Linked DNA regions of Callithrix jacchus. The protein of the gene in region 5 purifies or fractionates together with the protein of the main gene of each other region. This does not show direct contact. Links are inferred from orthologs where the notes say so. Each region holds a gene or a part of one and is shown on either strand. Other genes may lie near its edges.

The links.
Region 1: the proteins of RC3H1 (region 5) and CNOT1 purify together in Homo sapiens (affinity purification with mass spectrometry; 5 studies listed by BioGRID, with this or other methods). This does not show direct contact. The link is inferred for Callithrix jacchus from reciprocal best matches to the Homo sapiens genes RC3H1 and CNOT1.
Region 2: the proteins of RC3H1 (region 5) and CNOT9 purify together in Homo sapiens (affinity purification with mass spectrometry, with the first as the bait; 4 studies listed by BioGRID). This does not show direct contact. The link is inferred for Callithrix jacchus from reciprocal best matches to the Homo sapiens genes RC3H1 and CNOT9.
Region 3: the proteins of RC3H1 (region 5) and YBX3 purify together in Homo sapiens (affinity purification with mass spectrometry, with the first as the bait; 3 studies listed by BioGRID). This does not show direct contact. The link is inferred for Callithrix jacchus from reciprocal best matches to the Homo sapiens genes RC3H1 and YBX3.
Region 4: the proteins of RC3H1 (region 5) and SERBP1 purify together in Homo sapiens (affinity purification with mass spectrometry, with the first as the bait; 3 studies listed by BioGRID). This does not show direct contact. The link is inferred for Callithrix jacchus from reciprocal best matches to the Homo sapiens genes RC3H1 and SERBP1.
Region 6: the proteins of RC3H1 (region 5) and FAU purify together in Homo sapiens (affinity purification with mass spectrometry; 3 studies listed by BioGRID, with this or other methods). This does not show direct contact. The link is inferred for Callithrix jacchus from reciprocal best matches to the Homo sapiens genes RC3H1 and FAU.
Region 7: the proteins of RC3H1 (region 5) and CNOT10 purify together in Homo sapiens (affinity purification with mass spectrometry, with the first as the bait; 3 studies listed by BioGRID). This does not show direct contact. The link is inferred for Callithrix jacchus from reciprocal best matches to the Homo sapiens genes RC3H1 and CNOT10.

The regions. Positions count from the first base shown.
Region 1 is NC_133521.1:16,470,350-16,474,939, reverse strand, and holds the start of CNOT1 (CCR4-NOT transcription complex subunit 1), read left to right. Parts: upstream 1-1,422; 5' UTR 1,423-1,521; intron 1,522-4,590.
Region 2 is NC_133507.1:140,321,901-140,325,906, reverse strand, and holds part of CNOT9 (CCR4-NOT transcription complex subunit 9), read right to left. Parts: intron 3,577-4,006; coding exon 3,397-3,576; intron 1,626-3,396; coding exon 1,510-1,625; intron 79-1,509; coding exon 1-78. UniProt on the Homo sapiens protein: Component of the CCR4-NOT complex which is one of the major cellular mRNA deadenylases and is linked to various cellular processes including bulk mRNA degradation, miRNA-mediated repression, translational repression during translational initiation and general transcription regulation.
Region 3 is NC_133510.1:12,410,416-12,414,421, forward strand, and holds part of YBX3 (Y-box-binding protein 3), read left to right. Parts: intron 1-1,011; coding exon 1,012-1,186; intron 1,187-1,756; coding exon 1,757-1,822; 3' UTR 1,823-1,857; intron 1,858-3,539; 3' UTR 3,540-4,006. UniProt on the Homo sapiens protein: Binds to the GM-CSF promoter. Seems to act as a repressor. Also binds to full-length mRNA and to short RNA sequences containing the consensus site 5'-UCCAUCA-3'. May have a role in translation repression.
Region 4 is NC_133508.1:104,663,824-104,668,267, reverse strand, and holds the start of SERBP1 (SERPINE1 mRNA-binding protein 1), read left to right. Parts: upstream 1-1,575; 5' UTR 1,576-1,677; coding exon 1,678-1,990; intron 1,991-4,444. UniProt on the Homo sapiens protein: Ribosome-binding protein that promotes ribosome hibernation, a process during which ribosomes are stabilized in an inactive state and preserved from proteasomal degradation.
Region 5 is NC_133519.1:29,069,007-29,073,716, reverse strand, and holds the start of RC3H1 (roquin-1), read right to left. Parts: upstream 2,958-4,710; 5' UTR 2,903-2,957; coding exon 2,672-2,902; intron 1-2,671. UniProt on the Homo sapiens protein: Post-transcriptional repressor of mRNAs containing a conserved stem loop motif, called constitutive decay element (CDE), which is often located in the 3'-UTR, as in HMGXB3, ICOS, IER3, NFKBID, NFKBIZ, PPP1R10, TNF, TNFRSF4 and in many more mRNAs.
Region 6 is NC_133511.1:122,201,146-122,204,864, forward strand, and holds FAU (ubiquitin-like FUBI-ribosomal protein eS30 fusion protein), read right to left. Parts: upstream 2,086-3,719; 5' UTR 2,035-2,085; intron 1,901-2,034; 5' UTR 1,885-1,900; intron 1,782-1,884; 5' UTR 1,760-1,781; coding exon 1,685-1,759; intron 1,591-1,684; coding exon 1,446-1,590; intron 990-1,445; coding exon 934-989; intron 766-933; coding exon 640-765; 3' UTR 584-639; downstream 1-583. Other genes in the region: MRPL49 (large ribosomal subunit protein mL49), read left to right, coding at 2,297-2,374.
Region 7 is NC_133518.1:70,915,255-70,919,260, reverse strand, and holds part of CNOT10 (CCR4-NOT transcription complex subunit 10), read right to left. Parts: intron 3,438-4,006; coding exon 3,316-3,437; intron 2,060-3,315; coding exon 1,883-2,059; intron 1-1,882. UniProt on the Homo sapiens protein: Component of the CCR4-NOT complex which is one of the major cellular mRNA deadenylases and is linked to various cellular processes including bulk mRNA degradation, miRNA-mediated repression, translational repression during translational initiation and general transcription regulation.

The DNA.
Region 1 (4,590 bases), on a different chromosome or scaffold from region 5:
CGCCTCCTGGGTTCAGGGAATTCTCCTGCCTCAGCCTCCTGAGTAGCTGGAATTACAGGCAGGCACCATCATGCCCAGCTAATTTTTTGTATTTTTAGTAGAGACGGGGTTTCACCATGTTGACCAGGATGGTCTCGATCTCTTGACCTTGTGAACCACCCGCCTCGGCCTCCCAAAGTGCTGGGATTACAGGCGTGAGTCACTGCGCCCGGCAAATTTCATGTTTTTTACCATCATTTTTTTTTTTTTTTCAGTATATATTTTTTTTTTTTCAGTATTTTTTTTGGCACAAGAGGTAATATGAGACAGATGGCCAGGCGATCACCTGCTAAGCCTAGCCTGAGAGCAGGGGTGAGCAGGGGATAGGTTTTAATTTCAAAAGGTAATAGAGTTAACCAGTCAACACTTCCTTCCAGTCCTTTCTCTTTTGGGTACAGGTGAGCATAAAATCTTACCAATTATCATAGTTAACAAACAAACCATAGCAAAATATGTCTCTATGCTTTTCCACTTGAGAGCAAAGGACATGGGTATCCTTTCTTAGACGGCTCCTAGGACTTAAGCCAGGAAGAACACTTGTGTTTCCTTCAATAGGCAGAATTAAAAGAGAAAATTCCCTTGACGAAAGCGAAGCAAGCGAGGACCAGGTGGCCACCTGTGTGACTACATCCCCCAGCATGTACTGCTCCTTCTAGGGCGCAGCCAGTGACGGAAGAAGACGCGGTACTTCTCCGATGAGAACAGGGTAGGGAAGCGCGACTACATATCCCAGGATGCAAGGCGCCCCAACTCTAGTCACTATCTGACTTGCTTTCTGGCTGGTGTTCCCCGCCAAAGGGACACTAGGGGGGCGGAATGTTTCGGTTGGTACTCCCCGAAGTCTACTGGACTGTGACATTTCGAAAGAGAAAGGAAAGTGGAGGAAGGCTGTTTCACTGTAACTCAAAGTAGTTCCTGCACAAAGTGGCGAGGAGCTATGGGTCCTTTCCATAATTTATTGTTCCTCAAAGGCAATGCCAAGCGCCACTGGTCGCAGCCCTCCAGGGCAGGTAGGAAGTCCATGAAGCCCCAAATCGAAGTTATCAGCGTCTCTCTATTGGCCCTCGCCTCGAGCGCAGGCGCGAGGGCTCCGACTCAGGTCCCCTGGGCCTGGTGAGCGGCAATTGGCTACAGTCCACGAAGTAGAAGTCTGGATTGGTAGTTGCTAGCAAAAGCCTGGTTTCTTCCTCGACTTCTGCAAGTGATAGAGTGTGATTGGTTTAAATCCGCGGGTAGCTGTCGGTGATTGGGCGGGAGCCACAGGCGGGGCGCGGCCATTGGCTGGCGCTGGGACCATCCCTCCTCGGGCGGGCAGCGAATGATGAAATGGGAACGGGGAGGGGAAAGGCCGCGACGTGAGCGCGCGACCTCCGGCGCCATTTTGTCGAGAAACAAGCGGAGTTAACCGAAGAGGGGGTTGAGGAGAGCTGGAGTCGGGGACCCAGGAGTTTCCTGTGTTCAGCGCTGCTGGAGCCGTCTGAGGTGAGGCGGGCTGGCGTCAGGGCCTGGGGTACGGTGGCGGTGTTAGCTTGGGGACGCCAGTGCCAGTGGGAGGAGGAACAGGGGTGCACCTGGGGCCACTGGAAGCGTTTCCCGGAGCTCCGGGGAGTGAGAGGCAGCCGGGACGGGCAAGTGGGGCGAGGCGGGAGACGGCTCTCGGAGGCTTCGCGCTCTGAAGATGAGGCCAGCGAGAAGGCTCTAGGAAGCGGAGGGTAGAGCGCGGGATGAGACCCGGGGTGGCCTCTGTCCCGGGCCTGGAGGCTCAGGGGGCGGCAGTGGCGGCAGTTGGTGTCGCTGGGCCTGGCTTCGCGCGGGTTGCATCCTCCTGAAACCCCCCCACGACCTCCTCAACTACTCTTTCTCACTCTGCACCCGGATGGGTGCAGTGGGCATCGGCTCCCGAGGCCTAGCGCTTCGGATGGGGGGAACGGTGTTTGGAGTTTTTGCACGTTTCCAGTTTTTCTCAGTGTGCTCGGAGCTGCCACTCTTCCCCCTCTTACGCCCCCTGCACATTGTCAAAGCCCCCCATGTTTCGGGTGTCCCCGGATGGGAAGGGCGGGCGGGAGCGAGCACTTCCTTATTACTTGCCACAGGTTTTGTTCCACTAGCGCGCCCGGGCGCTCACACTTTCTTTGAAGTCGGCCCCCACCTGCTCGGTCCGGTGTCTGCAATAGTGGCGGTCCTGTTCACCCAAGACAAGTGTCCCGCTAGTGAGCTGAGCACTCATAGGCCTGAAGGCTGACGAGAGATCCTCTGCAGGTCTTGTAGAGGTACTTAAGGCCAAAGACAAATAATACTTTTTTCAGTACCACCCTCTGCAGAATTCACCCAACAGGGCTCACAGATACTAACTCCGCAAGGAGTAAACTTTGTAGATGAAAAAAGAATGCTTGATATCTGTGCATTTGAAAATGTTATATTTAAAATAAACTTTATGACAAACTTTTCCCCTAAAGTTAAATGTCACGTTTCTTAGGACTGTAATAAATTAAAGGCAGTTTTCTTCCTGAAAACTGAGTAACAATAGTTAATCTCCCTGCCTGTTCCTCGACAATTTGATCGCCTGTGACTACTTGGATTTTTTTTTTAAGTGTATAATTGAGTAAATACAAGTAAACTTTTTGAAAAAAATGCTGAGCGTTTTCCTTATGACAGTCCCTTTGATAGGAATAGGGAATACATGGATTAAGAAACTGAGGGAGGGCAAGTAAAATATTAGGAAGAAGATCAAACAGATTAAGAACAAATTTTCTTTTTCTTTTTTTCGAGACGGAGTTTCGCTGTTGTTACCCAGACTGGAGTGCAATGGCACGATCTTGGCTCACCGCAACCTCCACCTTCTGGGTTCGAGCAATTCTCCTGCCGCAGCCTCTCGAGTAGCTGGGACTACAGGCGTGCACCACCATGCCCAGCTAATTTTTGTATTTTTAGTAGAGACAGGGTTTCACCTTGTTGACCAGGATAGTCTTGATCTCTTGACCTCGTGATCCACCCGTCTTGGCCTCCCAAAGTGCTGGGATTATAGGCGTGAGCCACCGCGCCCGGCCTCAAATTTTATTTTTCTAGAGGTACTTGGATTTAATAGTTAAGTGGTCTGTGGTCCAGGTTTGTATTCCTACCCAACAGAGGATTTTAGCTATTAAGAAGGTAGGTTGTAACAGTTTAAATAATTACGTTTTAGGACACTGCGAATTGTTACCTTGTCTAAGGAGAAAACACATTGATGATACATGGTTTTAGGTGGCTAGCTGTGCTTTGACTGAAATGATGACATGTTGATAAAACTTGTTTGGAGAGTTGGTCCCTTTTCAACAAATATGGGTCTTCTGAGTCTTAGTGGAAATAAGTCTAGAATTGATTGGGTGCTGTGGCTCATGCCTGTAATCCCAGCACTTTGGGAGGATGAGGTGGGTGGATCACCTGAGGTCAGGAGGTCGAGACCAGCCTGGCCAACATGGTGAAACTTCATCTCTACTAAAAATACAAAAACTGGCCAGGCGCAGTGGCTCACGCCTATAATCCCAGCACTTTGGGAGGCCAAGACGGGTGGATCACGAGGTCAAGAGATCGAGACCATCTTGGTCAACGAGGTGAAACCCTGTCTCTACTAAAAATACAAAAATTAGCTGGGCATGGTGGTGCACACCTGTAGTCCCAGCTACTAGGGAGGCTGAGGCAGGAGAATTGTTTGAACCCAGAAGGTGGAGGTTGCGGTGAGCCAAGATCGTGCCGTTGCACTCCAGTCTGGGTAACAACAGTGAAATTCTGTCTAACAAAAAAAAAAAAAAAAAAAAAAAAAAAAAGATCAAGACCATCCTGGTCAACATGGTGAAACCCCGTCTCCACTAAAAATACAAAAATTAGCTGGGCATGGTGGCGCATGCCTGTAGTCCCAGTTACTCGGGAGGCTGAGGCAGGAGAATTGCTTGAACCCAGGAGACAGAGGTTGCAGTGAGCTGAGATCGTGCCATTGCACTCCAGCCTGGGTAACGAGCAAAACTCTGTCTCAAAAAAAGAAAAAAGGAAAAAAAAAAATACAAAAATTACCTGGGTGTGGTGGCAGGCACCAGGAGGTTGAGGCAGGAGAATTGCTTCAACCCCAGAGGTGGAGGTTGTGGCCAGCTGAGATTGCACCACTGTACTCCAGTCTGGGTGTAAGAGTGAGACTCCGTCGTCCCCCCCCCCCCCCGCCAAAAAAAAAAAGGCTGGACGTGATGGCTCACACCTATAATCTCAGCACTTTGGGAGGTCGAGGCAGGCTTATCACCTGAGGTCAGGAGTTCAGGACTAGCCTGACCAACATGGTGAAACCTTTTCTTGGGGGAAAAAAAAAAAGAAAACCGGGAGCTGTGGCTCACGCCTATAATCCCAGCACTTTGGGAGGCCGAGGCAGGCTTATCACCTGAGGTCAGGAGTTCAAGACTAGCCTGACCAACATGGTGAAACCCTTTCTTGGGGAAAAAAAAAAAGAAAACCGGGAGCTGTGGCTCACGCCTATAATCCCAGCATTTTGGGAGGGGTGGGGGTGGGGAAGGATCAAGAGGTCAAGAC
Region 2 (4,006 bases), on a different chromosome or scaffold from region 5:
TCAAAGGGACGTGTTTTGCTGACAGTGTGCAAAAAGGGGTACAAAAAAAGTGGGATGTGTGCTGCGAGAAACGCTGACCTGGAAGAAAAGAATAATTACATTCACAGCCCAGAGTTGATTTCTAAGGATCCTGAACATTGAAATTTCTAGGTGGTTAATTCTGTAAGGCCTTAACATTGCCAGAGCAAGGAATCCTTAGGAAACAATGTTACTGGTCATTGCTCTCAACAAATGGTTCTCAAATGGGGTAAATTTTGCCCCCTGGAGGACACATGGCAATGTCTGGAGACATTTTTGATTGTCACGATTATCACAACTCAGGATTATGGAACACTATTGGCATCCAGTGGGCAGAGGCCAGAGATGCAATTAAACATCCTACAATGCATAGGACAGTCCCCTCCTGCCCTCTACTTTCCACCACAAAGATTCATCCAGCCCCAAATGTTAATGGTACCAAAGCTGAAAACCCTAGTCCAGGTCACAGTGGTTAAAAAACCCATGATTTCCCTGCAATCAGCAGAAAGTACCTTAAAAACTGATTAACTTAAACTGTCCAGTGGTGGATTTAAAAAAATAGACCACAAAATGCTATTAAGATAGTCTTAGATTATATGACTGAATAATAGTATTTACAGGTGCAGTTGAATAAACCTTACAAAGCAAGACAACAAAACCAAGCAGCCATTATCAGGCTTACCTGCTATACTTTAATAAGCACATTCTTCTTTTATTGTTAGGTAAAACAATTTCTTTTACTGTTTTACCTAACAATAAAAGAAGAATATACAAACCATTCTGAAAACAATTTAGTCAGGCAACTAATATGGAAATCAGTCTATTATATTATTTATAGTCATACCTTGTAGAAGAGCCAACACCCAAGATTTTTAACACTCAAAGTACCCTTGTGTTTTTGTTAAGTGCTTAATTTTCTGAATAACTTCTCTAAAGCTGTGTAAGGTCAGTGCCAAGTTGGCATTCATATTTCATAAAGAAACTTGACAAAGAGGAAAGGTTTTAGTAAGAATACTATTAAGTGCCTTTGGGGCCATAAGAGCCACAAAGTAGATTCCTCAACAGGATCTCCCTTTTCTTAATTTTTCAGATACAACAGGTGGCAAAAATATTTTAACTCACACGATAAATCCCGTCTATTATAGAGGCCACCCAGAACACTATGTTAAGAAGGATTCTGAAGTGAAATCCGGTTCAGTTGGGGAAAAGTGTTTACTAGACTCCTCTTGTATGCCATGTACTATGCCTTGCAGATGACATAGTGCCAATAATGGTTAGGGAGTGAGAAGTAGCTGTATGCCTGGTATCTTTCCTGTTATGTGAATAGTGTTTCTTTAAAATTCATTGGGTAAAAGTAAATAAGAATCTGGAAGATACACACACACGTGCCCACGCACGGTCTACTGCATGCCCTTCCTTTTATTATTCAGAGAAAGTTTAGGACCATTTTCAATATATGCCTCCTCTAAGTGACTCACTCAAAGCATTTACCTGGTTTCTGGATGTGATGCTACACATTGCAGTAACGCCAGAGCATTGCAAACTCTGTTAGATTGGTGTGCTGTCAAGGTGGGTGGGTTGATAGAAGGATAAATATTTACAATTTCCTAAAAAATGGAAATCAGCATCAGATGAATAAGGAATAACTAAAAATTAATTCCCATGGTAATAAAGCAAAAAAAAAAAAAAAGGTAAAGCAAATACCTCTTAATTCTGTGTCTTGAAAGAACTGAATGATCAAAGAGGGAGCAGAAATAATGCTCATATCCTTTCATCACAAACTTACTTGGCTGAGACTAACTAGCTAAGACATTTCTACATTTGTCTCTGGGAAGATTTCTATGGCTATGCTATGGAGGCAAATGCAGTCACCTACACTTCCTCTTATATTCTCCAGCTATTCAGGCTATCACTTGAGGGATACTCAAATTTTTATAGTCCCTCCTTTTGCTAGCATCCTGCTTTAAGTTACAGTGATGAGACTGCAGGCCAGAAAGTGTTAAGTCAACCACAGTGACTCAATGAAGTTTGAATTTGGTTAGGTAGTAACTATAGTACGGACATGAATCAATGAGTGCGGATATGTATAAACAGCAATGAATAGATGTACTCTCTGTAAAAACTTAATGACTTAATACAATTCCATTTACTTTCCCTTTTTTGAGACAGGGTCTGACTCTGTCATCTAGACCGAATATAACGGCATGATCATGGCTCACTGCAGCTTCCACCTCCTGAGCTCAATTGATCCTCCCATTTCAGCCTCCAAAGTAGCTGGGATTACAAGGGTCACCACCAGGCCTGGCTAATTTTTGTATTTTTTGTAGAGATGGTGTTTCACCATGTTGCCCAGGCTGGTCTCGAACTCCTGGGCTCAGGCAATCCTCCTGCCTCAGTCTGCCAAAGTGTTGGGATTATGGGCATGAACCACTGCATCTGGCAATAATATTCTATTTACATTATTTGTAAAACATTAACATAGAAACACATTCCCATAACAAAGACCAGTTTCTTGGCTAAATGAAGTAGAGATGGAATGTGAATTTACTTAAAAGTTGAAAGGTTAATATAATTATTAGGAAGGCAATACTTTAATGGATAATCACACAACTATCTAGGTATTTTGGTATTATATAATATCAATTAATTAGCCACCAATGACGATTCCAACCAAACTTCACTTATTCTTTAATGCACAAGTGTACCCATCTTTAATACTACAGCTGTTATCTTTAACATTTCCTTTCCCTGGAATATACTGTACGTGGTCCTTATATCTTACTTTCCATCTTCCTTCCCCCATCATGTAGATTTATCTTGCAATACTCCTAAAGCTGTGTTTGTCAAAGTATAGTTCTTAGATCACCTGCATCAGAATCACCTGGGGGCAGTTAAAGTGCTTATTAAAATACAGATTACAGGGCCCACCCCAGACTGACTAAATTGAATCTCTTGGGTAAGGACTCAAGAATCTGCGTTTTAACAAGTACCTTAGACCTTTCTAAAAGAGGTTCTTAGGAATGCTGTTTTTTTTTTTTTTTTTTTTGAGATGGAGTCTTGCTCTGTTCCAGGCTGGAGTGTGGTGGCACGATCTCAGCTCACTGCAACCTCTTGACTCCCTGGTTCAAGCGATTCTCATGTCTCAGCCTCCTGAGTAACTGGGATTACAGGCACATGCCAACACGCCCAGCTGATTTTTGTATTTTTAGTAGAGATGGGGTTTTACCATGTTGGCCAGGATGGTCTCGATCTCCTGATCTTGATTGCTGACTCTTAAAGAATCATCCTTGTGAAGTCTTTAAATCACTTGGGCAAAGGTAAAGAAATATACAAGTGTGATGAAAAAAGCTTAACTGCCAATCATGGACACGAACCCACCTGTAAAAGTGCTGCAATAGTACCAAATGAATGCCACAGCATGGGTGCAAGGTCAGGAACAGATTCTCGCTTCTTACTTAGCTCCAGCAAAGCATTTTCCCTTGTCTCAGGACTGGACAGCTCATTGATCCACTGATAGATCTTTTCTCTATCCACTTGTGCCAATGCAGTAGGCACAGGCTTCAGATGAAGACAAGAAAGTAAATGTGAGTTTATTAGAGTCAAACCAAGTCTTATTCTGCACCAGAGCTTAGAGGAAATATATATTTCATGAATACCACGGGAGCTTTTCTAAATACATACATCTGATGTTAATCTCTCTGGCGGTTATTGATGAAAAAAATCTAAAATGCACACATGCCCTTTGAATTTCATGTTTAGGAATTTATCCTCTAGGTATAATTGAGCTGTACTAAAGACAAACCAAGATGTTTACTGTTGCACTGTTTTAAAAGCAGAAAACTGGCTGGGTGCAGTGGCTCAAGCCTATAATTCCAGCGATGTGGGAGGCCAGGGCAGGCAGATGGATCACTTGAAGTCAGAAGTTTGAGACCAGCCTGGCCAACATGGTAAAACCCCATCTCTATTAAAAATTGGCCAGGCATGGTGG
Region 3 (4,006 bases), on a different chromosome or scaffold from region 5:
GAAAAAGTATATTATATTGGGAAAGGATTCTACCAAGTCTGTATCCTTTTTCTCACAAGGTTCCCTCCAGTTTTAGGCATAATCACTAATGGCTAAGTACTAAGGCCTTTCAAAACAAAAGAGACTGCATAGAAATGTCTTACAGGAACAGAAAGGATGCAGCAGCATGCGTGAAGCTCAGCTTTGTTGGTCCCTGGCTAAGTGATCTTGAAAAGTCATATGTGACCTTTTTTGACCTATAAAAGCAGCACTTTTATATAGCTCAACCATATACTTCATTATCTAAACGTCTTGGTTTTCTCATTATAAATCTCTTCCACAGAATTGCCATTGAAATTAAATATTTAATTTGAAAACCAACGAGCACAAGCTCTGGCACATAATAATGTTTCTTCTCATGTTTAATTCCCTTAGTCTCTACTAAATTTTGTTCAAGGAAGGCAGATACCGGATCACTTTTCTTCTCGTTTTTAATTTTCCTATTAGTGCTTATCAAAGGGCCTGATAGGAATGGAGTATGTGTTGGATATATATGTGTTCCCTCCAAATATGTATTCAAATGAAAGGAGAAAATGATGGGAAAATAAGATTTTTTTCATTAAACCTCTGTTCCGTTTGCTGCATTGGCCTGTGTATAATCTAGCAATAAGTACTGATCACTTGATCAGTACTTGGATGGAGTCTCAGTCTGTCGCCCGGGCTAGAGTGCAGTGCTGCAATCTTGGCTTGCTGAAGCCTCTGCCTTATGGATTTGAGCGATTCTCATGCCTCAGCCTCCCACATAGCTGAATTACAGGCACGTGCCACCATGCCTGCTATGTTGGCCAGGCTGGTCTCAGACTCCTGACCTCAAGTGATCTGACTGCCTTGGCCTCTGAAAGTCCTGGGATTGCAGGTGTGAGCCACCATGCCCAGTCCTGATCACTTGACTCTTTAATTTTTAAAATTAAATAAACTCTTATTTTCTGGAGAAGCCCTGGCCTGTTGGCACTTGTTCTGTGTTCTCTCCAGCAGGGGACCTCCTCGCCCACGACCTGCCCCAGCAGTTGGAGAGGCTGAAGATAAAGAGAATCAGCAAGCCTCCAGTGGTCCGAACCAGCCGTCTGTTCGCCGTGGATACCGGCGTCCCTACAATTACCGGCGTCGCCCACGTCCTCCTAATGCTCCTTCACAAGATGGCAAAGAGGTAAATCCAGCCAGTCAGGGCCGATGTTGCCCGATCGTTTTTAATCATGCCAAATTGTAGCATTCTAAGAGTGGCTTTATCACGTGATAACCTGACACTTAACAAATATGAAAACATTTTGCTCAGTATCCTTATATATAGGGTATGCCTTGCACATAACACAAACCAAATATTTGATTCCAGTTAAAATTTTTTGAAAGAATGACCCATACTGATGGGAATTTAGAGCATTAGGGCTCCTCAAATAACAGAGGCATTTATAGAGGAAGCTGCCTCTAAGCGGGAGCTGAAAGCACTTAACACAGACTTGATGGAGAGCAGTGGTGTTTAGTTGCTGTTTGTAAGCTGTTCTTCTACGGTACCAATTTGTTTTGTTTTGTGTGGGGTTTTGGTTTCGTTTTGTTTTGGCAGAGATGCCAGGGACTGAATGTGGGACTCATTTGTGACTCATACAGAAGAGTAGTTAAATTGCATAGTGATTTTTCTTCACAGGCAGGAAAATTTAAGAGTCTTGAACTTCCCACTGTCACCTGACTTATTTCTGATTTATGGCTTTGTTTTGCGTTTTAGACCAAGGCAGGTGAGGCACCAACTGAGAACCCTGCTCCAGCCACCGAGCAGAGCGGTGCTGAGTAACACCAGGCTCCCCAGGCACCTTCACCATCCACAGGGTAAGAGCTGGGGCAGCCCAGTCTTGAGTTGGTATTTTCTTTTCAATATCACTGGCTTCTCACCAAGAGTACAAATTAGTCTAAAGTAGTTCTGCAGTTCATCTGTGGCAACCCCTTGTCTCTGTTGGGATTCTGTGGAAAAAGTGATTTGGTGGTTAAATATTTCTGGGATTGACCTCATTTTGATAAGCTTTGGTGAGGGTATAAACATTCAGACAGAGGTGATGATAACGCAGCTTCCTTTTCTACACAGGCAGTTTGTAACTTCTAGTGCCACTTAGGAAAACAGATGCAAAAAGTCCCTAACAAAGGCCTGGTTTTAGTAATCAGAAACCAGTTCAGAATCTTTAGTAATCAGAAAGAGTAGAGTAAACTAAAGGGGTTTTCCTTTTCCTTTTTCTTTGATGATCCACTTTATTTGGAAGCAGTGCAGCATAATGTGTAAGAGCCAAGGTTTTTCTATCCAGTACAGGCCCTGCTGCACCCCTCATTTGCTTGTTGATCCAGAGTAGTTTATCCTGTTTTATCCTACTGATCTCGAACTTCTGTCCTGTGGAAAAAGTGATTTGGTCACTAGCAGATGTTTTGATCACTGCTTGCCTTGGCCTCCCAAAGTCCTGGGGTTACAGGTGTGGGCCACCACGCCCAGTGGTAAAAATGAGGATAATAATTATACTTACTAGGGTTGTTGCAAAGATTATTAAGTGAAATAATGGTTAGGAGATGTTTACACTAGGGTAGGGTAAAGAATAACCTCTTGAAAAAGGATAGCTTGTTATTTTGTCATTTTCTACTTTTTTCTGTCTTTTAAAGATACATTTATATACAGTAGAAATATAGCTAGAAAAATCAACTCAACTATAAATTCTGGGTTTTTTTTTTAATGTATAACCTTTTAAACTGAGAAGTTAATTCTTTTGATACTTCTTGCTTTTGCTCTTTCTATGAGCTTTTAGTTAAGAGAGAGCTTATAAACTCAGTATCAATGCTATTTTTCAAAAATTGTTAAAATTTCATAAATGAAGTTTTGGGATTATTATAAGTTCTTGTGTCTTAATGCCATCTGCTTTTATATCCAGCGATTTCGGATTTTAATCAGCCTTTTATTAGGTAGATATTTGCTATGAGGGCAATATTCTGTTTTATCTTGGGTAGCATGGACAGTTTGTCACATAAATAAGTTCCCTATTCAGACTTGGAATCAACTGATTTAGAGTAACATATTAATCATATAAAAATGGCCGTAACCTTTTATGGAGTAATGTTACTTCCAGGTATTATTTCTAAGGAAATAGTTTAAATATTGGGAAAAAATATTTCTACAATTTACAGTCTGACATTTGGGAAGTGGCTAACTGCGATATATTCATATTAGGAGCTAGGGATCAGCCACTAAAATGATTTTGAGTATTACTCATTAGTAATGGTAATTTTCTTTTATACACTTTTATAAATTTTTTCTATTATGTACTGACTTTTCTGGTTTATAAAAATACTTTATTAAAAAGTAAGAGTCCATTTAAATAACAGATAGCTTACAGATCTATACTAGATGTGATTATTTAGAGCATTTGATGTACTCTTTTTCTAATTATATGAAAAGCAGATAATTTTTGCCTTTTTATTGTTTAACTCTTGGTTACTTTGTCACTCTTTCTAAGTTTGATTTTAATTTTCTCCAGGTGACCTAAAGAATTAATGACGATTCAGAAATAAAGGAAAAAGCAGGTCACAACCTTACAACACCAAAGAAACATCTAAGCAATAAAGTGGAAGACTAACCAAGATTTGGACATTGCAATGTTTACTGTTATTCTTTAAGAAACAACTGCAAAAGGAAAATGTCAGCAGATTTTTCCAGCAAGCTGAGAACCTGGGAATTGCTGCACAGAAGACAAGAGAGCAACCTCTCCCGTTTCAGCAACCACTAGCTTTATATTTTTTTTCCTGGTTTTTACTGTTTTGGTAATATAAATTGAAACAAGAAATATTAATCCCACATGGGGAGAACCCCAACCAAAGAAATATATAGGAAATGCTTTTTTTTCGTTTTGTTCATTTTGGATGCTGGTGCTAAACCTCCAAGTGTCATGATTTAAAAAGAAATTTTATGTCCTCCTTATTTATTTCTAGGATGAGGGAAGGATAA
Region 4 (4,444 bases), on a different chromosome or scaffold from region 5:
GTCTTGGTAGGTGCCACAAAGCCAGGGACTGAGGAAGGCAGGGTGAGGTAGGGGATGTGTTTGAGGTTGGGAGTTTACGACTGAGGCAGCAGGGAAATAAGTGACTGAGTTGGGGAGGATTGAGAAGACAACCAGGCTTGCTGCCACATGTATGTAATATGACTCTTGTCTTCTATTTTCCCTGCTAAGGAATTGATTTAAAATCTGCTCAGAAATTGATGATTACATTCTGCCATGTTACATACCCTGACATGCAACAATGTTTAAATCATACCGGAAATATAAAAATTGGATTGGTTTCTATCAGGGCAGAGTCTGAATTAAAGAGTTCATGTCCAGTCTCATAGCGGAGGTAGAAGACTGGGCTAATGCCTGTCACTAGCATTTACAGAGGTGTGAATTTGGTAAATAATTTCATCTGTGAAATGGTTTCAGCATTTGTGAGAAGAGGCAAACTATTTGCCTAACGAGATGTTGACTTCAAGGTTATTCAAAGCTACTGACAAGAGATGCATTTGCTATTTTATATTAACGGAAAGCGATTTAAAATCATGATATATTTAAAGACGGCGCTACGAAATGTGCTTAAAAATGCAATGAAGTTGTATTCTCTTAATTAACTTAATTAGTATCAACGCTTTTAGTCATCATTGATTTCAGTAGTTCCCTCTCCTCATCGCAACTCCTAGCACACACGCACTCGAAATGCTCTAACATGGTATTTATTGAGCCCATGTGACCAACACTACAGCCACCGAAGCCCCGGCTTGCAGGACACGAACGGACAATTAAATGGAATGACTGTAGCAAGCGTTTCTCCAGTCTTTCTGGAGGATTCCCCCGCGTCTAGCGCTGCACGGTCAGGAGTTATCCGACCGCCACACGGCGAGAAGCCCGGGAAAGGCGCGCCACACTCCCATGTGATAGCTCCACTTGTGTTTTTGCTTAGTTCTGCTACCCTAGTTCACGTCCCCACTAGAAGAAACGTATTCCACCTCACATTAGACAGAAGAGCCTCGATTCACCGTGGAGGCTGACGGAGGGGGACTCTGGCAACTGAGCACCTCGGACTTATCACAGGCGGGCTGCAGCCTACCCGCGGCCGGCGCGGCACCTCAGCAACACCCCCTCCCCCGGAAGTTTGTGGGTCTCCAGCTGTAAGGTCTGGGAGTCACCTTGACCCTCCCGGAGCGGTGGGGAAAGTTAGCCCTGGGCCCGAGGGGGCGTGAGTGAAACCAGAGAGCACTTTCGCGAGTCAATTACACCGTCACGTTTTTCTGGTTTCAGGGTAGCTGAAGACCTAGAGAGTTTGAGGGTGGGTAGAGCAGGTGGCAGGACTCCGCCCACCACCACCACCACGCTTCCCCTCCTTCAGCTCGTACGCTTCACTCCCTTCGTGAGGTCCCGCCTCTCAGGCGCGCGCGAAGAGTTGTCGCGAGGTGCATCCTGGGAATTGTAGTCTCTACGCGGGGAGTCGCCTCAGGAGAAACGACTCTGGCCTACATAACCCACAGTGCCTTGCGGCGCAGGCCGCTCCCGGATGTGTGCCTGGCGCCGGAAGAGAAGACGGCCCCCCTCTCTCGGCCCGGCCATCTTGTGGGAAGAGCTGAAGCAGGCGCTCTTGGCTCGGCGCGGCCCGCTGCAATCCGTGGAGGAACGCGCCGCCGAGCCACCATCATGCCAGGGCACTTACAGGAAGGCTTCGGCTGCGTGGTCACCAACCGATTCGACCAGTTATTTGACGACGAATCGGACCCTTTCGAGGTGTTAAAGGCAGCGGAGAACAAGAAAAAAGAAGCCGGCGGGGGCGGCGTTGGGGGCCCTGGGGCCAAGAGCGCAGCTCAGGCCGCGGCGCAGACCAACTCCAACGCGGCAGGCAAGCAGCTGCGCAAGGAGTCCCAGAAAGACCGCAAGAACCCGCTGCCCCCCAGCGTTGGCGTGGTTGACAAGAAAGAGGAGACGCAGCCGCCCGTGGCGCTTAAGAAAGAAGGTAAAGCAGGGGCAGAATGTGGGGGAGATTGAGATGGAGGGAAGGAGCTAGGGGGCTGCCGGCTGCCACTTGTTTCTGGAGCTCCGAGGGTCCCCGGGAGACTTTGTAGCCGATTTCCTCACGTTTCTTCACGCGACCAAAGCCAGGTCCTGCAAAGGTGCCGGGAGCGTGGTAGCCCCAAGTTCAAGCCACCGCCGGCTAGGTTCCCGGAGCCACCTCCTTCCCGCCTCAGGTTGTGAGCAGAGGAGCGTGGTTGCAGATGAGCTGCTCCTCGAGCGCGCTCGACGTACTGGGAGGCTGTTGCCTTCCCGCCGGATTCCTTGGCGGGCGAGCGCGTGGACTGAGGTGCGGGGAAGCCGGCCGCTCACTGAAGCTTCCCGTAGTTATGGAGGAGCTTGGGTCCACCGCTGCTTACTGCCAGAGCTGCACCTTTGAGATGATGATGTTTCGGGCTCCCGTCCTGCCATCTTGTCCCACGACGGAGCGGAGTACCCCCACTGAAAAGCGGGGGTCGTTCCAGGCCATCAGACGTGTGGAATAAGCTGCTGGTTGGGGTGCCGCATATGTTTTATTGTTTCCCCTCTCCCTCTCAACTGTTAGGAGCCTTCTCATAACTTGCTGGGGTGAGTTGAGCTGTCGGGAAATGGAGGAGTTTGCCACACTCGATTAAGCAGAAGCGGGAATTACGAATGAAGACCGGTGATTGCAGGACATCCCGAGGAACGTCCTCGAGTCGCGATCCTCTCTCTCGACTCCCCAGACTGAATCTTTAACTTGGTGTGGTCTGGGTCTCGTGGGTGAAGTCAGTGCAGAGGCTGTCACAGCATTAATCGCAGCAAAGCTCTTTAGAGTCTGCAGTTTTTTCTTCCACCCCACATGTGTGTGAAGCATGATCGGTTTCACTGGCGGTTAATAGTTGTTTCCAGGGCACTGAGTTTCATAGGATTGTCTTGATTTTTGCACTCATTACCGGTTCGTTATGGATGAAAAAGCAAACGGTTTGGGGATAAGAACATGCGTGGTTAGTAGCAAGCAGGTGTCGGACTTCAGCTCTGAATCTTTAAAGTTGTATTTTTATGTTGAAAGTGGAAATTACCCCTTACCACGTGCTTCAGAAAGTTGTTTCTCATTAGCTTTAGTTGAATTCTATAACATTCAACTAATTTTCAAAATCAAAAGTTTACTCGTGGTAGGATTTGTTTTAGGAATTTTTTTTTTTTTTTTTTTTTGAGGACTTTTGTGAGGCTTGTAATGAACCTCGGTCCTAGGTGGTGCGTAAAGGAAAATAATTAATTCTTGTGGTAAAATTGTAGGTTGGGGAAAAACGGGAGTATTAGAAGGCATGTACGTCACTTAGGCCAAGTATCTCTTTAGCTAGTTAAGCTTTATGGGACTCTAGCACAATTAAATAAATCATTTAGTTCCCGTGTTAAGAAACGCTGAAACTATGCTTAAGCTCACCTCAAGAAAGTACATGAAAAAGTTGAGTCTGACGAATAAATCTAAAATGTACCAGCTAGATGTGTTCACTCATTTTGAATGCTCAAAGCATGAAGCATGGTTTAAATGCCTGAGTTTTGATCATGAATCCCGTCTATGAAATAAGCTCTTACCTGAAAAGTAATGTTTTTATAAGTTGCAAATGTGGGGAATGGTTTCATGAAGTTAGAACCAGGACTTAAAGTTCACCATTCAGTAAATCCATGGGAAAACTATTTCATATTAGCAATCAGCATTTTTCTTTCTTTCTTTCTTTTTAAAATTCATTTACTTATTCTTTCCCCCCAGCCTCTTGCAGGTAGCAATCAGCATTTTTCTTAGGTCATTATTTCAGAGCATTCTTAATAAGTTGCATAAAATACAAGCATATAAATATAGGAAACATGATGAATGGAAAATACTCGTTTTGAGATTCTACCGTTTGGTTCACTGGGAATAAATCTAAGGAAAATCCCTGCATAGAGTAGGAAGGTTAACCTGTTTGTGTTCTGTGATTTTGGTAACACATTGTGACACAATGCTTAACAAAGTATAGGCAGATATATAATGTTTTATGAATTAAATTTGTAGCTACTCTTGTCCATTTGAAGAACTTAAGAATTGACAGCAGAATGTCATTGAGAGTGGAACAGACATTTTCTTAAAAAGAATGAATGCTTCGAATCTAGTGCAGTTAGTGAGCTTGCAAGTTATAGATAAGTATATCAAAATAAGCATGCAGTTTTCAGTATCAATCTTTTTCATTAGGTGAGCTTAATAAGTGTTTTTTAAGATTCTGTAAGCCTAATATTGGATATTGGGTGGGGACACCAACTATTGTTCACTTGGGTGTGTTTGGCTTGGATATTATTGCAAGGACTGGCTCCGTAGCTCCACCCAGTACACTTTTTTTTACTGACATTTATTTAAATACCTTGGTGTAAGGTCTAACATTTGTAGTCTTTTTGAGGGTTT
Region 5 (4,710 bases):
TTTTTTTTTTTTGTATTTTCTGTAGAGATGGGGTTTTGCCATGCTGCTTAGGCTGGTCTTAAACAATCCACTCAGCTTGGCCTCCCACAGTGCTGGGATTACAATTAGCCACTGCACCCAGCTAATATGAACATCTTTGAAACACAGTTTTTAGTTTTGATGAAGTTCAACTTACCTTTTTCTTTTGTTTCTTGTGCTTTTTGTCATATATCTAAAAAAAAAAAAACTCACTGCCTATTCCATGGTCATGAAGTCTTATGTCTATGTTTTCTAAGAGTTTCATAGTTTTAGTTCTTAGATTTAGCCTTTGATACATTTTGAGCTAATATGAATAAATGTTTAGTCAAGTCTTAAGTTTCTTTTAACAATGATTTGTAGTCTTCAAAATATAGTTTTACTTTTTTTGACAGTCATGCTCTGTCACCCAGGTTGGAATGCAATGGCATGATCTTAGCTCACTGCAACCTCAACCTCCCAGGTTCAATCCAGTCTCCTGTCTCAGCCACCTGAGTAGCTGGGATTATAGGTGTGCACCTTCATGCCTGGATAATTTTTATATTTTTTTGTAGAGATGGGGTTTCACCATGTTGGCCAGGCTGGTCTTAGAAGTCCTGGCCTCAAGAGATCTGCTAGCCTTGGCCTCCCAAAATGCTGAGATTACAGGCGTGAGCCCCTATACCTGGTCTAGTTTTACATTTCTTTTGTTAAATATATTCTTAATATTTTATTTTATTTTTTTGATGCTCTTGTAGATGAAATCGATTTTTGTTTTCAGAGTGTCCACTGCTAGTGTATTGAAATGTAACATATATTATTTATTTAACAAATCTTTATTAAGGGCCTACTATATGCCAGACAGTCTTTCTTATATGTGTAAGAAAACTATTATTAACATATTGTGGATGAAAGTATACAACACTAGCTGGGTACGGTGGCTCATGCCTGTATTCCTAGACTTCTGGGAGGTTCAGGCGGGTGGATCACTTGAGGCCAGGAGCTGGAGACCAGCCTGGCCAACATGGCGAAACCCCATCTCTACTAAAAAGACAAAACTTAGTTGGGCATGGTGGTGCACACCTGTAATCCCAGCTACTTGGGAAGCTGAGGCACGAGAATCACTTGAACTGGAGAAGCAGAGGTTGCAGTGAGCCAAGATTGTGCCACTCCAGCCTGTGTAACAGAGGAAGAAAAAAATAAAGATTATGAAACATTGTAAACACATTTTTACACTTTTGAGACTTTTGCTTCTTCAGACAACTAATATTTATATACTCATCTTATATCCTGTAACTTTGTCTAACTAGTTTTTTGTTTCTATTAGCTTTTCATTTGTAGATTTCTTAACATTTTCTATATATAAGATCATGTCATCTGTGAATGAGATAGTTTTTACTTTTTTCCTCCTTATCTGAATGTCATTCGTTTAATTTACTTGACTAATTGCCCTGGCTAGAAGGTCCTGTATGATGTTGAACAGAAATAGTTAAGAGTGGAGTTCCTTGACTTGTTCCTGATCTTTAAGAAAAAGAATCTAGTTTTTCACCATTCAGTATGTTAGTGGTGGGTTTTTCATCCATGTCCTTTGTCGGGTTGAAGAAGTTCCTTTCCTAGTTGTTTCAGTGCTTTTATCATGAAAAGGTACTGGATTTTGCCAAATGCTTTTTTTGTGTCTACTGAGATGATCATATGTGTGCAATTTTGAAATGTTTATTGATGTAGTGAATTACTAATTGATTTGCAGATGTTAAATCAACCTTACATTCCTAGGACAAATTGGTGATGATCTATTTTATAGTCTAATTTATTTTTTCCTTTTAGATGAAAGAAAAAGATAATTTTTAATTGTGAGAATATATACATAACACAAAATGTACCATCTTAACCATTTTTAGGTCTATAATACATTAAGTATGCTCTAATGGTTCCCAAACGTTGTGCTATAGTTGTCACCTTTTCATCTTTCATTTCAGTTATCGTCTACTGAGTAAAACTGCCTGAAGCAGCTGCACCTTCCATAGTGAGTAAAGTGTAGTGGTTTTATGAACAATATTTTTCTCAATGTTAAAAGAGGTTCTTATTACTTACATCTTAGGGTTTTTTTTTTTTGAGACAGGGTCTTACTCTGTCACCCAGGCTGGCATGCAGTGGTGTGATCTTGGCTTACTGCAACCTCTGCCTCCTGGGTTCAAGCGATTCTTGTGCCTCAGCCTCCCGAATAGTTGGGATCACAGGGGTACACCACCACACCCGGCTAACTTTTTTGTATTTGTAGTAAAGACAGGATTTCACCACATTGGCCAGGATGATCTCAAACTCCTGACCTCCAATGATCCACCCACCTCGGCCTCCCAAAGTACTGGGATTACAGGCGTGAGCCACCACAACTGGCCTTAGGTTTCTCTAGTGATCTGCATAGCTAGGTTTATTGAATATCTGACAAGATTAAACGGATGTTACTGTGCTATGACTGAAAAGCACTGGGCTACCTACCACAATAAATCCAACATGCTGAAATAAAGGGTTTGCAGTACCAAACAGATTTATACCTATTTAAGTAGAAGGCAATGTTACCCAATTTTAATTCAACAGGTTTCTCTCAGGAGAAAAACATACAACACACACACACACACACACACACAGAAATTTGAAAGTATTAAGTCACCCATCTTACCTGAGCACCCACGAGCTGCAGCAATGCTGAGTTCACAGGGAGAAGCTCAATGTCTGTATTGATAGTGGTCTGGTCAAATGGGCAAGCCTTGCGGTGGAGTTTATTCAGGCACATCTTGCAGACAGTATGGCCACAACCCAAACTGATGGGCTTTCGAATTGTTTCGTCGAAAGTCTGAGTGCAAATTGGGCAGGAGAGGAAATCCGTCCATTGTGGAGCTTGTACAGGCATTGCTTCTGGAGTTACAATTCACGAACACAAACACACACACAAATCTAAAGCAAAGATTCCACTGGAATCAAAATCTTTGAAAAAAAGTTTATCTTTTTTTTTTTTTTTTAAATATCTTCTGTAGATACAGTCAGCACATAGTGTGAAATATAACCTGGAAAACAGAAAAAAAAAAAAGGAAAAAAATTGCATGTCTTTCTTTCCAATTAAATTGCTGAAAAAGAACCACAAGTCCAGTCTTATTCCACAACTTTTTATACCACATTTGTACCACGGTAATCCATCTTTTTACACTTTCACAGATTTAGAGCAATGATAAAACATCTAGTTTATTCCCTCATTTTAGAGATGGGAAGTAGTCCCCTGCCTGAGGGGACACTTTAAATTAGTAATAAAGTTAGATCCAGGACCCAAGTCTCTTAAGTTTATTTAAGTCTCTGATTTTTAAAAAATAAATATATCTAAAACTTAAACTTGGTTAGGTACAGTGGCTCACGTCTGTAATCCCAGAATTTGGAAGGCCAAGGCAGGTGGCCCTTGAGGTCAGGAGTTGAAACCAGCCTGGCCAAACATGGTGAAACCCCATCTCCACTAAAATTACAAATATTAGCTGGGTGTGGTGGCAGGCACCTGTAATCCCAGCTAATCAGGAGGGTGAGGCATGAGAATCACTTGAGACTGGGAAGCAGAGGTTGCAGAAGGCCAAGATCATGCCACTACACTCCAGCTTGGCTGACTGAGTGAGACTCTGTCTTAATAACTAACTAACTAACTAACTAACTCTTTTTAAGGAAACTAATAATACTGTGTTTCTTGACCTGGGTACCATTTACATGGGTTTCATTAGTTGTGAAAATGTATCAAGCTCTTCACTTATGTGCACTTTTATGTATGTTCCACATCAATAAAGAGTTTTTCTTTGTAAATAGCCTAAAATAAAAAGTACCTTAAATACTTTATCGTCAAATTTGGTGGGAGTAATGAGATAAAAAGAGACTGTTTATTTTTAAGTTTCAGATATTCTTCTGAGCTTTATATACTGGTAGATGTCTCTTTTAGGCTCTTTGTGTGGCCTATACTTATTTGCTACAGCATGTTTTAAAACTATATAACGTATTTACCTCAAAATTTTTTTAACTCCTAAATTTAAGAATGATGGAATAATTATGATTAACCAGAACCTATGTATGATCAAATTTCACTGTCTACCTTCTACTTTTGGTGGGAGATAAAAGCCAAATTACAAAACTTATCACCTGGTGTCTACCAGGAATTTTCTTTAAATATAAAACCCAACCTGAAATTGCTAGCACACATCTTAAACAACATCTACTATACTTGCTATAACTGTAGTTTTTAAAAATGAGAATTGATGCCCAGAAGAATAAAGTACCGCTGGGTGTGGTGGCTCAAGCCTGTAATACCAGCACTTTGGGAGGCCGAGGCGGGTGGATTACGAGGTCAAGAGATCGAGACCATCCTGGTCAACATAGTGAAACCCCGTCTCTACTAAAAATACAAAAAATTAGCTGGGCATGGTGGCGCATGCCTGTAATCCCAGCTACTCAGGAGGCTGAGACAGGAGAATTGCCTGAACCCAGGAGGCAGAGGCTGCGGTGAGCCAAGATCGTGCCATTGCACTCCAGCCTGGGTAACACGAGTGAAACTCTGCCTCAAAAAAAAAAAAAAAAAGAAGAATAAAGTACCAAAGTCTTACAAGTTTTTAAAGATTTAATTATGCTCAGTAGTCTCCTTAACAAAAGTAAAAATTTATTTATGCTATAATTAAATAGAAAAGTAAATTATCT
Region 6 (3,719 bases), on a different chromosome or scaffold from region 5:
AAATGAGTGAGTAGGGTACGGAAGTGCTGGGAGACTCAGGTGCCAGAAGGGAAGCTTGAATCAGCCCCAGAGGTACTCCACTTTTGGGAACACGGTATCCGATCACAGATGTGACTAGGTTAGCATGGCCGGCCAGCCTGATTTCCCATCACAGATGTGATTAGGTTAGCATGGCCAGCCAGATTCCTGCCCTGGACTCTAAGGCCACAGCTGGTCCCAAGTTCAGGGAATGGCCAGATTCATCTTCTATACAAACCTCATCCCCCACCCCTCTCTTCCATTGCTGCCTCCATAACAAACCTCACAATTATTCCTGCTACCTTCTCTGTTTAGAAGATGAAAAAGAGTAACTTGGGAGGACTGATCAAGTTACTTAGGATGGGGAATAACCCCAATTCTGCATGTGAAGCGCCAGGATCTGTGGCTATTGCTTCTTTACAGGAAACTTTTCTGTGAAGGAATGCTAGTTTACCATTTCGTCCCCCCATTATCAATGGCTTCTGCCTTACTGTTCTAGGGGAAACACCACCAATCCAAGAAGCCACACCTCTCCCTGATGCTTTGCAAATAAAGATGAAACAACTTGACGACTGAACTATGTGGCTTTTTTTATTAGAGAAAGTCAGAATTACAATGGACTTAAGAGTTGGCATTTGGGCCCTTCTTCTTGCCAAAGGTGGGCACAACGTTGACAAAGCGCCGGTTGTACTGCATCCGCCTCTTAGCCCGGCCTGTCTTCTTCTTCTTCTTCTCCTGTTTGGCCACCTGGAAAAGGGAGGGCCCTGGTTCCTGTATACCTTGCCTAGCATCCCTTCCTCAGGCTCATCTCCAGGGAGGAGAAGGCAAACCAGGTAAGAGCCCAGGGTCTTGGATTAGCTCTGACAGGAAAAGACAAAGTTCAAACAACACCACTGCTAACACTCTCTCACTCACCTTAGGAGTCTGACCTCTCACCTTCCCAGCACGGGCCAGGGAACCATGGACTTTACCTGTAGTGGGAAAGGAAGGCAGGTTAAGAGCAAGAAGGTGCCACCCAGCAAAACCCCTCTTTCCTCAATTCAAGCTTTAAAAAGAAGCTGGGCCCAATAGGTAATGAGAACAAAGTTGCAGATATTTGATCTTGAAATCTGAAGTTTCATTTAAGGATTTTCCAGCTCCTAACTTTATAGAGCACTTTGGGGGCTCTGGGCTGACCTAATTTTAGTGAGGAAGCTTATAGCCAGACAAGGATCCTATATGTGATTGAAATGCAACTTCACTCTGACTCAGTCTCTCATGGATGTCTGTGTTCAATTTGAGGCACGTAAACAAGAAGAATCACTGTGAACTGAGGATACAGGGGAGAACTCTGTATTACCATAGGTTTGACGACACTCAGCTACCGGGACCATGCCCCACACCCATAGACGCGTACAGGTAGTACAAAAAATATTCCTCTCACTCACCTCCGAGCATTCGGCCTGCTACTTCCAGCGTGGTCAGGGCCTCCACCCCGCACTGGCCCAGGGTGGCCTCATCCTCCAGGGGCGTGCCTGCCAGGAGTACGACTTGATCTTCCGGGGCAATGCCCTCCAGTGAGGCTACATGAGCCTACAGGGAAAGATAAAGCTCCTAAGAGTCCTCTCGGTCCCCGAAGGTGAAGAGCACAAGAAAATGGAATCCAGGGCGCACCAAACAGCCCTACCTTAATCTGGGCGACCGTCTCCTGGCCGGTCACCTCAAGGGTGTGTAGGTCCTGGGCGCGGACGAAGAGCTGCATGTTGGCGACTGAGTAAAGACGGCTTGTAAGAGAAGCGAGGAAACGCTCTGGGATAAAGCAGGTTTGGGAATGGAAAGCGGCCCAGAAACGATCGCGACGGGATGGAGGGGGTCGCGGAGACTCACGTGGGGAAGGCCAGGCCTGCCAAGAAGTTCGGATAGGAACTAGAGCAGAACCACAGAGCAGGTCCCGTTCTTCAGTTTACCCCGCTCCCTCTGACCCGGCAGCCAACTTGCTACTAAGCCCTTCGGATCCAGCCAAGGCCCGAGTCTTACCTGAACCGCGGTGTCAGCTGCCGCTACCGTGAAGATGGAGTCGAGAAAGAGGAAGGAGCGAGGGCGCGCACGTACAGATCACCGGTTGCGCGTCGTGTCACTACTGAGCGACCGCGAGGGGCCCTGGTATTTGTACCGCCCAAGGCGGCACTAGCTCCGCCCCTTTACACTGGCGCAGGCGTTTTTCCGTCCCAGGCAGCGCGCGCAGGAGGGGGCGGGACCAGACGGTTGCGCGCGCCGACGGCTAGCGTAGCGGGTCAAGATGGCAGCTACCAAGTTTTGGGCTTTGCTGCAGGGATGGAGAACCGGTGTCCAGCGGAGCTGCGGGCTACGGCTGTTGGTGAGAGCGCTGAGCCTGGAGCTGAGGGCATCGCGTGTCTGAGGCTCACTGTTAATCATTGTAACTCTGAAAACTAAGGCATTCCTACTTGGGGCCTTAGTTTTGCAGTTTTACGATCTGGAGAACTTGTCTCGAGTGTAGATATAGGAACGAGAGGGAAAGTGGCAGAGACTGGAGTGCTCTTTGGGACAGTGTGTGGGTTAGATTCTGGCTGCAGGACATCCCAGGTTAGTCAGGACTGAGAGGAGTTGCACATCGACTCCAGTAGCTACCCAGTTTTTCGAAAGCGAAATCAGAGCAGGCGCTGGCACCAGATCATTGGCGACGCTTTTGGGAGCGCAGAGCTGCTGATATTCAGCTACTTCATCCTACTTCCCTGCTCTTGTAACCCCGAGCTTGTCAGAACTTAGGGGTATCTGTCCAAGAAGGATCTTTATGCTGGAGGATGGGAAGGCAGACTCCGGGCTGTGACGTTAAGTAGAGTTTACAATTATTTGTTAGTGTTGGCCTTTCCTGGCTGTAAAAAAGGTGTAATAAAATACCTAATCAGGCACGTTATTAGAATCAAGTGAAGGCCAGTGCCCGTAAAGCACTTAACACAGTGCCTGGCAATGTCTATATGAGGCCAAAACTTTTCAGATAAGGGGCGGGGTCCTAGCATATGAGTGTGTGTGGGGAATTATGATTGCCTTAAGAATTAAGGCAATCATTAAATTAAACACCACTATATCCAATCACAGATGTGATTATGTTAGCAAGGCCAGCCAGGCAATCATGGAGGTACAAACAAGGCCACCCTGCCAATGTAATAATAATATTTATTTCTAAAACCGAGGCAGAAAGTTAAGCCTTAAGTTTCTGTACGCTTTTCAGAAGCGTACACATACTCTTGAATCCCACAGAAATCCTAAGAGAGGCAGACCGTTCAGAGTACCTGAGCTTCCTTTCCATTCCATCTGTACCCTTCACCATGGAAAACTAAAGACCGGTGCTATCTTATGTCAACCTAAATAACAGACTCTAAAAGAAAATGATATTTATTTGGGAATGGGTGTAGACTATATGCTTATCAGGGAGGTAAAAGAAGACAAAGGTTTTTTTAAAGGAAACATGGGCCGGGCATGGTGGCTCTCACACCTGTAATCCCAGGACTTTGGGAGGCCGAGGTGCGCAGATCACCTGAGGTCAGAAGCTCGAGACCAGTCTGGCCAACATGGCAAAACCCCATTTCTAATAAAAATACACAAATTAGCTGGGTGTGGTGGCAAGCACTTGTAATCCCAGCTACTCCAGGGGCTGAGGCAGGACAGTCGCTTGAATCTGGGAGCAGGGTTGCAGTGAGCCG
Region 7 (4,006 bases), on a different chromosome or scaffold from region 5:
CATTTTGGGAGGTGGAGGTGGGCAGATCACTTGAGGCCAGGAGTTCAAGACCAGTCTCAACAACATGGCAAATCCCTGTCTCTACTAAAAAGGCAAAAATTAGCTGGGTGTAGTGGTGCTTCGCCAGTAATTCCAGGTACTTAGGAGGTTGAGGCAGAAGTGCTTGAGCCTGGGAGGTGGAGGTGGCAGTGAGCTGAGATTGTGCCACTGCACTCCAGCCTGGGCGATGGAGGGAGACTGTCTCAACAAACAAACAAAAAAGAAAAAGAATTTCCTATATATAATGGTATTTGTTTTATCCTTACAAGATAAGTTCTCCCAATTTCTAAAGAGTCACATAATTTTTATTTATCTTTATTTTTTTGAAGAGATGGGGTCTTGCTATGCTGCCCAGGCTAAACTTGAACTCTTGGCCTCCAGCTCCCTGCCTAGATTTGCACAATTTTGAATTTATACTAGAAACTAGAACTATACAAAAATATTCTGGAGGTTGGTAATTAGAGTATATTAAGGTGACAAGCAGAGGATAGTAACAAATGAGAAGCTTTAGGAGTTAAGCACTTACTTTAATAATTTTTTTGTTTTTTTGAAAAGTAATCTCATTTTGTAGTGCACTGGAATGAACTTGGCTCACTGCAACCTCCACCTCCCAGGTTCAAGAGATTCTCTTGCCTCAGCCTTCCCAGTAGTTGGGATTATAGGTGCCCGCCACCATGCCTGGCTAATTTTTGTATTTTTAATAGAGATAGGGTTTCACCAGGTTGGCCAGGCTAGTCTTAAACTCCTGACCTCAAGTGATCCAACTGTCTCAGACTCCCCAAGTGTTGAGATTACAGGCATGAGCCACCATGCCTGGCCAAAATTTATTATTTTTTGAGACAGAGGTTCACTCTTGTTGCCCAGGCTGAAATGCAATGGCGCTACCTCAACTCACTGCAACCTCCACCTCCCCAGTTCAAGCGATTCTCCTGCCTTAGCCTCCTGAGTAGCTGGATTGCAGACATGTGGCACCACACCAGGCTAATTTTATAATTTTAGTAGAGATGAGGTTACTCCATGTTATTAGGATGGTCTCAAACTCCGGACCTCAAGTAATCTGCCTGCCTCAGCCTCCCAAAGTTCTGAGATTACAGGCATGAGTCACTATACCTGGCCAATTTTTTTTTTTTTTAAAAGACAGAGTTTTGCCATGTTGGCCTGGCTGGTCTTGAACTCCTGACCTCAGGTGATCCATCTGCCTCAGCCTCCCAAAGTGCTGAGATTACAGGCATGAGCCACCGTGCCTGGCCGACAACAGGACTTCTTACAAACATCCCTCCTGTCAATGAAAAGCTGCTAGTTTCCTCCTTTTTTCTTTTCCTTTTTTTTTTTTTTTTTGAGACAAAGTCTCACTCTGTTGCCAAGGCTGGGGTGCAGTGGCACAATCTTGGTTCACTGCAACCTCCTGGGTTCAACTGATTCTCTTGCCTCAGCCTACAGAATAGCTGGGATTACAGGTGCCCACCACTACACCTAGCCAATTTTTTGTATTTTTACTAGAGACGGGATTTCACTATGTTGGCCAGGCTGGTCTCAAACTCATGACCTCAAGGGATCTGCCTATCTTAGCCTCCCAAAGTGCTGGGATTACAGGAGTGAGCCACCACACCAAAGCTGCTACTTTCTACTTTTCTTTTTCAGGGATCTCTCCTAACTTAGCTTTCACCTTATTTCTCTCTTCCAGAAAGACTAGAAATATAAATACTTTCCCTTCCTGTTATACAAAACAGATAATTTCAGAAATTTAGGCTGAAGATATTAGGAATTTACTTAAAAACCAAAAGGGTTTACTAAAGAAGTCCTGAAAGGATTTTGCCAAGGGAGGTCACAAGGATTAGAATACCTGCAAGTTTCACTGCTTTCGCTGCTCTCTGTGTTCCCACCTAATTGATTACTATTTTTAGACCCATTTTCTTGCTTTGGATCTTGCTGTTCCTCAGGCAGCAGCAACAAGGCATTTCTGAGACATATGGCTGCAAACTCCATACTGGCTACAGGAATGGCCGAAGACTGCCCATCACTTAAAAGAACAAAACCAAATTAGCTAAGTAAATAAAAAATTTTTAAATAAGACTTTTTATTATAAGGAATAAAACCAACGAATTATAAATGAAAGTTTTGCCTTTTGATAGGTAGAAATTTTAATATAAGCTGTTATAAAAGAACACTATAGAATCTAAATCCTGAGTATAGGTCATAAACAGTATGGGTTGCAAGTATATAAATTACGTACACTGTGTCTCTATGAATGAGACCAAGGGGGAGAGACAATTTGATATCTATCTACATTGTTAATGTTAACATACTAGAGAAACTGCAGACAAGCGCTCAAGGGCAACTGTAATGAGGGCCATGACAGGTTTATTAAGAATGGGATTGGAGGGAAGAAAATAGATTTTCATGTTTGAGGCTTACTTTGGTTGATCCTTGTTTTCAAAAATGCCTCTCTATACACTTAAACAGCAACCCTACCTTTGGTCTGATAATTTCAATGACATTTTATACAACTTTCTATTGGTTTGATATATTCAAACAGAATCTATATTAGGGAAAAATAAAATTTTGAAAAGTAGTAACCATGTTGAAATTGCTTTAAAATTTTGAAATGCTTTATCATAATAGTCTTTAAAAATATTCCTGCATTATAGTTAATCTAAATTAAGACTAAATTGGACATCAGATGTTTTTTAAACTTTTGAATAATTTTTAAATAGTAGAGATTTTCTTCTTTGACAAAAACAAATTAAGTCAGCTAATTCTTTGCAAAGTCTGACACTTTACAAATAATGGCAATTTCAAATTGTCAAATGAAGACTGTACATGTGACAGCTTCTATACTGCTTTGGTTGGTTGCTTTATGTTTTAATACACTTGTTTTCTCCTAATACTAAGAATTCACTTTCATGTATTTTCAGTGCTAGAGACTACAAAAAAAAATACCTAAATGAAAAGTACAAATGATAACCAAAACTACATAAAAAGGAGACACCAAGATGCCCTCTTCTGGATATTCTTAATAATGGCACTGAATAGACTAGGGTTTCCTAGGCCATCAATAATAATAATTGCAGCATCCATGAATGTAATAAACCAAAATCACATGTTAAGATAACATTCACTATGGACCTCTAACATGAGGGTCTGTTTGTTGAAACAGCAATAAAACCTAGTTAGAAAGTGGTTCCTCCTATGCAATGATAAATCCTAAGCATACTTTAAGTAACATCGTGTAAACCAGTATTAAATATATATACTTTTTCTTTGGAAAATACTTACTTATAAACAGTATTCTGTATAGACTGTGATGCCAAAACTATTTTACGATGATAGCCTTGACCAACAATAGACTGTACAATTCCTTTTTTGCTGGGAAGGCCTTTAGTTTCTTGTTCAGAAGTCTACAAAATACAAATAATTTCCAATAAACTTATGAGAATTTTAAGATATGGTATAAAAAATGAGGAAATGCCTCTCACAATTACCCTAAATTTAAGAGAGTTGTTAAAATCAGTGAAGATTTTTTTGGTGACAATGGAAACATGTTTGGTATTAGTGGACAAAGTACACAAGGCTGAAAATCTGGGATATGTGCTACTTTTTTTTTTGAACCAGTCTCAACTCTGTTGCCGGGGCTGGAGAGCAGTGGTGCGATCTCGGCTTGCTACCTCTGCCTCCCGGGTTCAAGCGATTTTCCTGCCCCAGCCTCCGGAGTAATGAAATTACAGGTGCACGCCACATCCGGCTAATTTTTGTATTTTTAGTAGAGACGGGTTTTCACTGTGTTAGCTAGGATGGTCTCGAACTCCTGACCTCGTGATCCACCCATCTTGGCCTCCCAAAGTTCTGGGATTACAGGCGTGAGCCACCGTGTCCGGCCACTACATTTTGTTTACATCAGATTGGAGAAAATTCTAAGAGCAAAATCCAATACAATTACGACCCAATAATTTATTTAGAATAATTTACT